2 linked regions of the Ovis aries genome follow. The main gene of each other region encodes a partner of the protein of the gene in region 2 in a complex. Links are inferred from orthologs where the notes say so. Each region holds a gene or a part of one and is shown on either strand. Other genes may lie near its edges. The genes, in order: MYBBP1A and SMARCA5.

Region 1 (4,589 bases), on a different chromosome or scaffold from region 2:
AGGAGCCCCTGCTCCACAACCTCCTTCCAGAACCATGGGAACTTGTCCTCCTGGAGCGCCAGGCGGAGCAGGTCCAGAGCCACGGTGGGCAGCTTGCGTTCCTTCTTCACAGAGTTGGCCACCGTCTTCAGCACAGTCACCAGCCTGCAGAGGTCGGGGGTGGGTGGGGGTGAAGAAGACTCAGGGGGCAGTCCCCAGCAAACAAGGGCCAGGCGCCTGGGGCCACATGGACCCCCAACCCCGGGTCATGGTGCAAACCTGTGGATGGAGGGCCCACCTGCCCACCTCCCTCACACCTGGGGATGTTCTCGTCCAAGAACAGGTTGACCGGTCCCATCAGCTTCTCCAGCTTCTTGGGCACCTTCTGCTGGGCCAAGAGGAAGAGCTCCAGGTGCTCAGGGGAGCCGAGAACTGAATTCATGTCAGGCTTGAGGACCTTGGGCAGGATCTCCTGCAGCGCGGTCTCCGGGACCTGGCGGTGGGGGAGACAGGTTGAGGGTGCGGAGGGCGCCCTCACAGCATCCTTTGTCTCTCCTGCTGTGAGCTGAGCTTTCTGGGCCCCATTCTACCTCCCAGGCTCCCCCAAGGCCCCGGCACACCAACAGCCTGAGACGGGACAGTCACAATCCACCTTGTCAGGCAACAGAATCACCAGAGAGGGTTTCTTAAAAAGCGCAAATTCCCAAATCCTTGGAAACTGGGTTTAAATAAATAAGCACCCCACTGATGCTAACTAGCCCAGGACCACCCTTTTAATTATTCCTCTTGTGGGTTTTGCAGGACTAGCATTTTTTTTATAAGGAGTCCCCAGTGAAGATCTGGGACTTGAATTCAGGTCCTTCCAGCTCTGTGGCCAGGGTTATGCAGAAAGCCTTGGCCTGGGATGTGCCAGTCCCTGGCTTTTTCACCATAGCAAGGATTCTAGGTACTAGCCCACCTCCACTTCCCAAGTAGGGCAGTGGGGACCCCAGCTCTGCCCAAAACAACAATGGCAAACATGTTTAACCCACCGGGCACATGTCAGGCGCTGTTCTACAAATGCATGGTCCAATATGGAAGCCACTGGTCACATGTGGACACTGAGCATGTAAAATGTGCTAATCTGAACAGAGATATGCTGGTGAGTATAAAATACACTGGATTTTGGAGACTTACCACGATAAAGAATGTAAAAAACCTCCATAGATTTTCTGATACTGACTGCACATGAAAATACTTTAGATATTAAACTAAACCATGTTATTAAAGCACATCCCTTTTCCTTCTTACTTTTTAAGGGAAGTTACTACAAAACATCATGTTCCACATTTATGCTTCGGTACCGCATTTTCATGCATTAACCTGTGTCTTCTCCGTGCTCTTCTATGACGGGTGGCGTTAGTTACCCAAGGCTCCACAGCTGGTGAGCCCATACCTGAGAAAGGATGTCCACCAGGGCCTTCTGGGGCTGTTCCTGAAGGTGATTGTAATGCTGGCCCAGGGCCTGCAGCAGCTTCACTGACTTCATCAGTGCTTCTGAGTCCTGGTGGTCCCAGAGGCAGAGAGGGTATGAGTGGGGCGTGCCACTCTCCCCCACCACTCCAAGCCAGTCCACATACCCCCAGAACCCTCAAAGCTCTTACCTTCACTAGCCTGCCTGACTGAAAGAGGGCTAGCACCCCAAACAGGTTTCCAAAGAGGGCAGGTCTCATCATCCCCTAGAAAAGGATTCCAGGCACCCGTGAGAAGGACCCAAGCATTTCCCACCCTGGGGACTGCTGATATCCCTGGGGCTGCTAACTCTCACCTTCTTAACCTTCTGCAGGTCATGTCTCTCCTGTATTTGCTGCAGGATGCTGCCCAAAGGGATGTCTTCGAAAGACTGTAACAGCTGCCAGGAGGAAGAGAGGGGCTCAGGGGGAGTGGCCCTGCCACATCCCAACAGACGTTAATCTCTTCCTACTTCTTCAACTTCTGCCCTTGGGAGCAGGCCTTGGGCCCCTGCTCCCGCCCCAAGGATGCCTCTGAAGCTGCCTACCTGCCTCTGAGCAGTGCTGATGATGGAACATAGCTGTGAATGGAGCTGACCCCTCTCTCCCTGTCCCACGTGTAGCTGGGGTGCTTTGGCCACTAGACTGTGTTTCCCAAACATGCTGTCCCCACAGCCAGCTCTGAGCTCTCCCTAGACTGGTCTTCAAGGACTGGGTCTCTAGAGGCCTTCCATTTGTCCAGGCTCCTTAGATATGGCTTATAATTAGCTGTGTGCCCCTTGGGAGAAGAGGGTCCTAAACCCTGCAGAGGTAACAGAACTCACCCCAGAGCTTACCACCCCCAGTACATGTACCTCGGAGGCTGGTCAACCCAGGTACCCAAAAGCAGCCTCAACCTCCCTCTCTCCGCCTTCCTGGGCTTCTCTGCACAAAGGCCTTGCTTACACAATTTTCTCCGCATCCACGTGGGCACACCTCCCATCGGCTCGCCTGAGATGCTACCCCTACTTGTCAGTTCTCACGTCCCTTGCAGCTGGGACATCTGCTCTGCTCACTCACTCCCCTACCTGACCAGCACAGGTGGACCCCTTCCAGGGGCCACCACCTCACCTGTGCCAGGGCCAAACTGTAGCAGGGCCGGGCTGCTTCTCGTCCACCCCCGAGCCCAGTGATTAGGCGCTTCAGGGCGTACTTCATCTCGGAAGATCCCTAAGGAACCAAGCACATCCCCAGGTGGACCAGTGAGAAGGGTCGTTTGGCACCCGCCCATGCCCGCTCCTCGGCGCGCGCTCACTTGGGTCGTCCAGGTTCGCGACCACGTGACCCCAAGCTCGCCGCTACTAGCCAGGATCTCTGGTGCTCCTGCCCCAGACCCCGCCACCATACCTTCGGCTTTGCGCGCAGATATTCCAGCAGCTTCTCTGTAGCCTCAAGCCGCGTCTCCTGCTGCGGCTTCGCAATGTCCCAGAAGAAGTCCAAAAACTCGCGGCTGTGCTTGAGCAGGCCATGACGGTCGGCAGGCCGGGCGCCGCTCTTCTGGGCCTCTCCCGGAGCCAGAGGCTCGGTGACTTCCACACTCGCCGGCTCCGCCATGCTCGTCGAACACGTGGGCTCGGAAGACAGCCTCTTCCAGGTCAGGTCGGGGCGCATGCGCAATGAATTGGGTCGGCTGGGGGCGGAGCCGGCTGGCACGGGGGCGGGGCGGACGGGGAGGTGTGGCTCTTCCTCTGGGCGCTCAGGAGTCCGGAGTTCATTCCGATTGTGATAGGAAATCACCGGAGGGTTTTATGCAGGCACAAGCCTTGGTCCTATTTAACTGCCCCGACGCCCCCCGCCTTGTCGGATTTTATTTTCCAGACCAGGGATGGGTCACGGATGGAACCTCGGCCCTCCGCAGGGAGAGAGCCGTGTCCTAACCACGGTACCTCTAGTGAAGTGAAGTGTTAGCGACCCCATGGACTGTAGCCCGCCAGGCTCCTCTGTCCACGGGATTATCCAGGCAAGAATACTGGAGTGGGTTGCCATTTCCTTCTCCAGGGGATCTTCCCGACCTGGGGACTGAACATCGCGGGCAGATGCTTTACCGACTGAACAGTCAGGGAAGCCCCAGGGAATCCCCCCATTTACACATTTAATAGAGTATTCTGCTGCTGTGTGGAGGGTGAATTGAAGGAGAGCAGAGGTAGAAGCAGGAATACCAGCTGGATTGAACCAAGTGCTGAGAAAATTCCAGCTAATCTGGAACAGGTGGGAGGTGACAGAAGCGAGAGGGATGCTAGGCTTGCTGCTGCTGCTGCTAAGTCACTTCAGTCGTGTCCGACTCTGTGCGACCCCATAGACGGCAGCCCACCAGGCTCCCTCGTCCCTGGGATTCTCCAGGCAAGAACAGTGGAGTGGGTTGCCATTTCCTTCTCCAATGAGTGAAAGTGAAAAGTGAAAGTGAAGTCGCTCAGTGGTGTCCGACCCTTAGCCACCCCATGCACTGCAGCCTACCAGGCTCCTCCATCCATGGGATTTTCCAGGCAAGAGTACTGGAGTGGGTTGCCATTGCCTTCTCCGATGCTAGGCTTGGGGCTAACATAAGCGGGTAGACTGTGGTACCGTTTGGGCTGGGGGAAGAATTCTTTGTCCGGGAGTTGGGGGGTGAGCAGCGAGAGGGAGGTGGCGGCACTGAGTTCTAGTAAGTCAGAGATACATTCATTTTACAGTGTGGGGCAGGAGTGCTAATGGCCACCTGTTTCTTGGTTTGAGAACTAACCTGTGGAGGATTATAGTTCAGAGAGAACCCAGCCCTCTTGGAGGTGGGGAGGTGAGGGCCAACCCGGCCTTGAAACCGCACATCCAGCTCCAGCCCCCTTTGTTCCCCCTTGGGACACCTCCTCCTCACCATCTCAAACCCCTTCCTTGCTCTATCAGTTTCAGAAAGTGAGAACTGGTTTACCTTGTATGTGTGCTGCCCTGGGAGGCAGGGGAGTAGAGCAGGGAGGAGCAGAAAGACACTAGCCTGGCTCTGCATCCCTGGGTGGCAGTCTCCTGTGTTCCCTGTGGCCGGAGCCCAGACGCCTCAAAGGCTGATGTGAAATTAACCAAGAAGCAAGAGTAGCACATGGCATCCAGGAG
Region 2 (2,923 bases):
ATTTTTCCCACACAATGCAATCAGGTTTGTTTAAACTTTTTAAGCAATTTAACGTTATACAATCTACCAAAAAAAAAAAAGACTAATGCATCAGTGATAAGCCAAGTAATGTTCAAATTCTTGAAAACAGTTACGCCGCCCAAGAGGACATTTATACTTTCATCAGTACTCACTGAAGGTTTGGGTCCTCTTTTCTTCTTCTCTGCCTTCTCCTTTTCTTCTAGTTCCATATTTTCTCTTTCAATCAAGGTAATTAAGGTGTTACACCTCCTCTGGAGTTCCTGAGTTATAAACACAACTTTACATGATAAATCTGTATTCTCCATCTATAAGGTTTCATGAATACAATTTCAAAACCAAAGGTACGTTTTAATAGCATATCATCACTTACACCCCCTCAAATATATTAAAGTTTTTTAAAGCAAAAACCTACTAATTTTCATACACAATCCATGCCAGGGGGATTAAAAAAAGATATGTGTGCATCTTTCACTTCATTATTTAAGGCCATACTACCATATAGGACACAGCCAGGAAATATCTGCAACACTACATACAGAGAAGGTAGTACGCTACATCCGAGCTCTGAACTTACTGAGCGACATACACCAGAACGTCTTACAGATGTGCTATGGTGTGAATCTGCCTGGCTTACAGACAAAGAGCACGCCTCAACTGTTCCAGCACAAGGGGAAGGGGCAACACACATATTCTCATTTTGTATGTGAGCCTTAACACGAACCACGCTAGGAAGTAGCAGTTTTAGGCCCTGGTACTGCACCAGTAAATCAAGGTGGCACTGCGTCTTGCTTCCCTTCCTAACTACGAAGTGACTGTTCCCGCTTTAAAAGATGTAATACAGAGCTTATAGCACCTGAATCTGTCTCCTCTCATTGTATATTTATAATGCATTTATAGTGCAACATTTTCCAACCTAGAGTTTCATAAAACACCAGCCTCCAATGACATTTAATAGGAAAAAATACCTTCAGTGGTCAAACACTTACAAGACTGTAAACTATCCCCCATCTTGAAGAGCAACAATATATTTTAAATATATTGAGAGAAAGTTTATTATAATATTGTTTAAACTTTGCTACCCCAGTATATCTCAAAATTAAGACTACAGAACTTTTTTTGGCATTAATATCATCCTGAAGAACACAAGATAAAGCTAAAAATTCAAAGGTGGCAAAATACATACAGGAAGAACAATTCATCAAAGCTAAATTTTTCTGAATTCTAATTTTACGTCATAAAAATGGAACTTGCTGATCAGAACCTAGCATTAAAACAATACAGTATTTTACCACACTAAGCTCTTTTTAATTAACTGAAAATTCAGTATTCTGATGGGCAGATGCATGAGTAGAAGTCCTTTCTTTATAAAAATGTGTATATTTACAAAAGCAAAAGTCAAATTTTAAATTGTGATCATCTTATTCACAAGTTAAAACTGATGCGACTTTTTCTTCTACTTAAAGCTTGATTAAAATTCACACAAAAAACTAATCCTATTGTATATAGTGATATTAACAGAAGTGCTATCAAATGATGGAAAAAATAAACTTTGTAAGTGACTCATGACATTAGGTTTATAACTGTGGAGGTGAACTGTTTCTTAAGGAACTACTTTAACCTTTGATACAAACAGCAATCTAACAAAAATTTACTTCAAAGATACACAAATTTTCTCCTAATAAAAATTTAAAAGGTACCTTAAACAATACTACATTATCTACTTCGTCTGAATTGTTTGCTTCAGTCCACAAAAAGGCCCCAGTACTCACCATTGCGGTTCTGGACTTTAGAAACCAGTCAAATCTGAACTGAGGAGAGTTGCGAATACACTGCCGCAGCTCATCATACACATTTTCCTTGTCGAATCCAAGCTTGTGAAGCATACAGATCAGGAAGCGGTCTTCCTCTTCAGTGTAGTTTTTCCCTTTGTTAGTACCGTAAGATATTCTCAGCTGATGAAAAGGTGCTTTGTACCGTCCAATCTATGAAAACCGGATTTCACATTATACAATACAAATCCTATAGAACCTATATTTCAAACTTAGTAAAGCTGGCTATAAATGTTGTATTTCATATCCATTTTTTATCCAACGCACTTCCATTGTATCCCCTTTGTTCTGAAACAATTGGTCTTTATTATTATAAAAATAAATACAGACTCAGACTTTCTAGTACTATGTAGCAGAGCTGAATCACAGAGACTCTGACTCACATAGACCAACTGAAATACTGAGGTCAATTCTGTCGAAAATGCCCATGAAGTTTCAGTGTTGTTCTCTGAAGAAATTTTTAATTTTAACTCATTTCTTTTCCTTTTAAAACCTTACTTTAACTCTTATACTTACAGGAGTTATTTTAATAATTACAATACTTATTAATATTCAAAGTACCTTCGTGTCAAGTGCTTTTTTGATGCTGATTCTCCTCTGAATCCTTGCCTCTCCTCTCTCGATCTGAGCCATAATCTTTTCTATGTCCTGCAGCTCATTGCATCTTTCCCAGAACACGGCTGTGGGAGTAAGATTGGGCAAACGGGAGAGGGAGAGAAAGGGAAGAAATGTAAGTAACTTGTTTCTGTAAATGCTCTATTTCATTTGCTAAGGATTAAGAAATGTTTCCCTTCTTCCCACATCTAATACTAGTAAGTCACACAATTATGTTTCCTTAACTGTAAAAAAAAAAAAAAAAGTAAGCTGAACGGCATGATTTAAGCATCTCCCAACACCTAATTCTCTGCTCTTTTGAAATTTTCAGCAATCACCAGAGCACAACTACACATATCCACTTGTCAACCCAACAGACTTCAAGAAACACAGAATTATATAGTATTTGTAAAAGTTATCAAGTGAAATGAAGTAAAAAGAAAGCACAATTATTCAGTGACCTATTCTTGTTTTCTTGG

Evidence for each region.
Region 1: SMARCA5 (region 2) and MYBBP1A share a complex: the UniProt entries of both Homo sapiens proteins name them as parts of the B-WICH complex. The link is inferred for Ovis aries from reciprocal best matches to the Homo sapiens genes SMARCA5 and MYBBP1A.

What each region holds. Positions count from the first base shown.
Region 1 is NC_056064.1:24,912,332-24,916,920, forward strand, and holds the start of MYBBP1A (myb-binding protein 1A), read right to left. Parts: upstream 3,076-4,589; 5' UTR 3,063-3,075; coding exon 2,856-3,062; intron 2,679-2,855; coding exon 2,580-2,678; intron 1,871-2,579; coding exon 1,787-1,870; intron 1,698-1,786; coding exon 1,623-1,697; intron 1,523-1,622; coding exon 1,415-1,522; intron 1,097-1,414; exon of another isoform or gene 1,020-1,096; coding exon of another isoform or gene 1,011-1,019; intron 473-1,010; coding exon 297-472; intron 145-296; coding exon 1-144. UniProt on the Homo sapiens protein: May activate or repress transcription via interactions with sequence specific DNA-binding proteins. Repression may be mediated at least in part by histone deacetylase activity (HDAC activity).
Region 2 is NC_056070.1:14,429,720-14,432,642, forward strand, and holds part of SMARCA5 (SWI/SNF-related matrix-associated actin-dependent regulator of chromatin subfamily A member 5), read right to left. Parts: intron 2,690-2,923; exon of another isoform or gene 2,531-2,689; coding exon 2,412-2,530; exon of another isoform or gene 2,004-2,411; coding exon 1,791-2,003; exon of another isoform or gene 282-1,790; coding exon 21-281; 3' UTR 1-20. UniProt on the Homo sapiens protein: ATPase that possesses intrinsic ATP-dependent nucleosome-remodeling activity.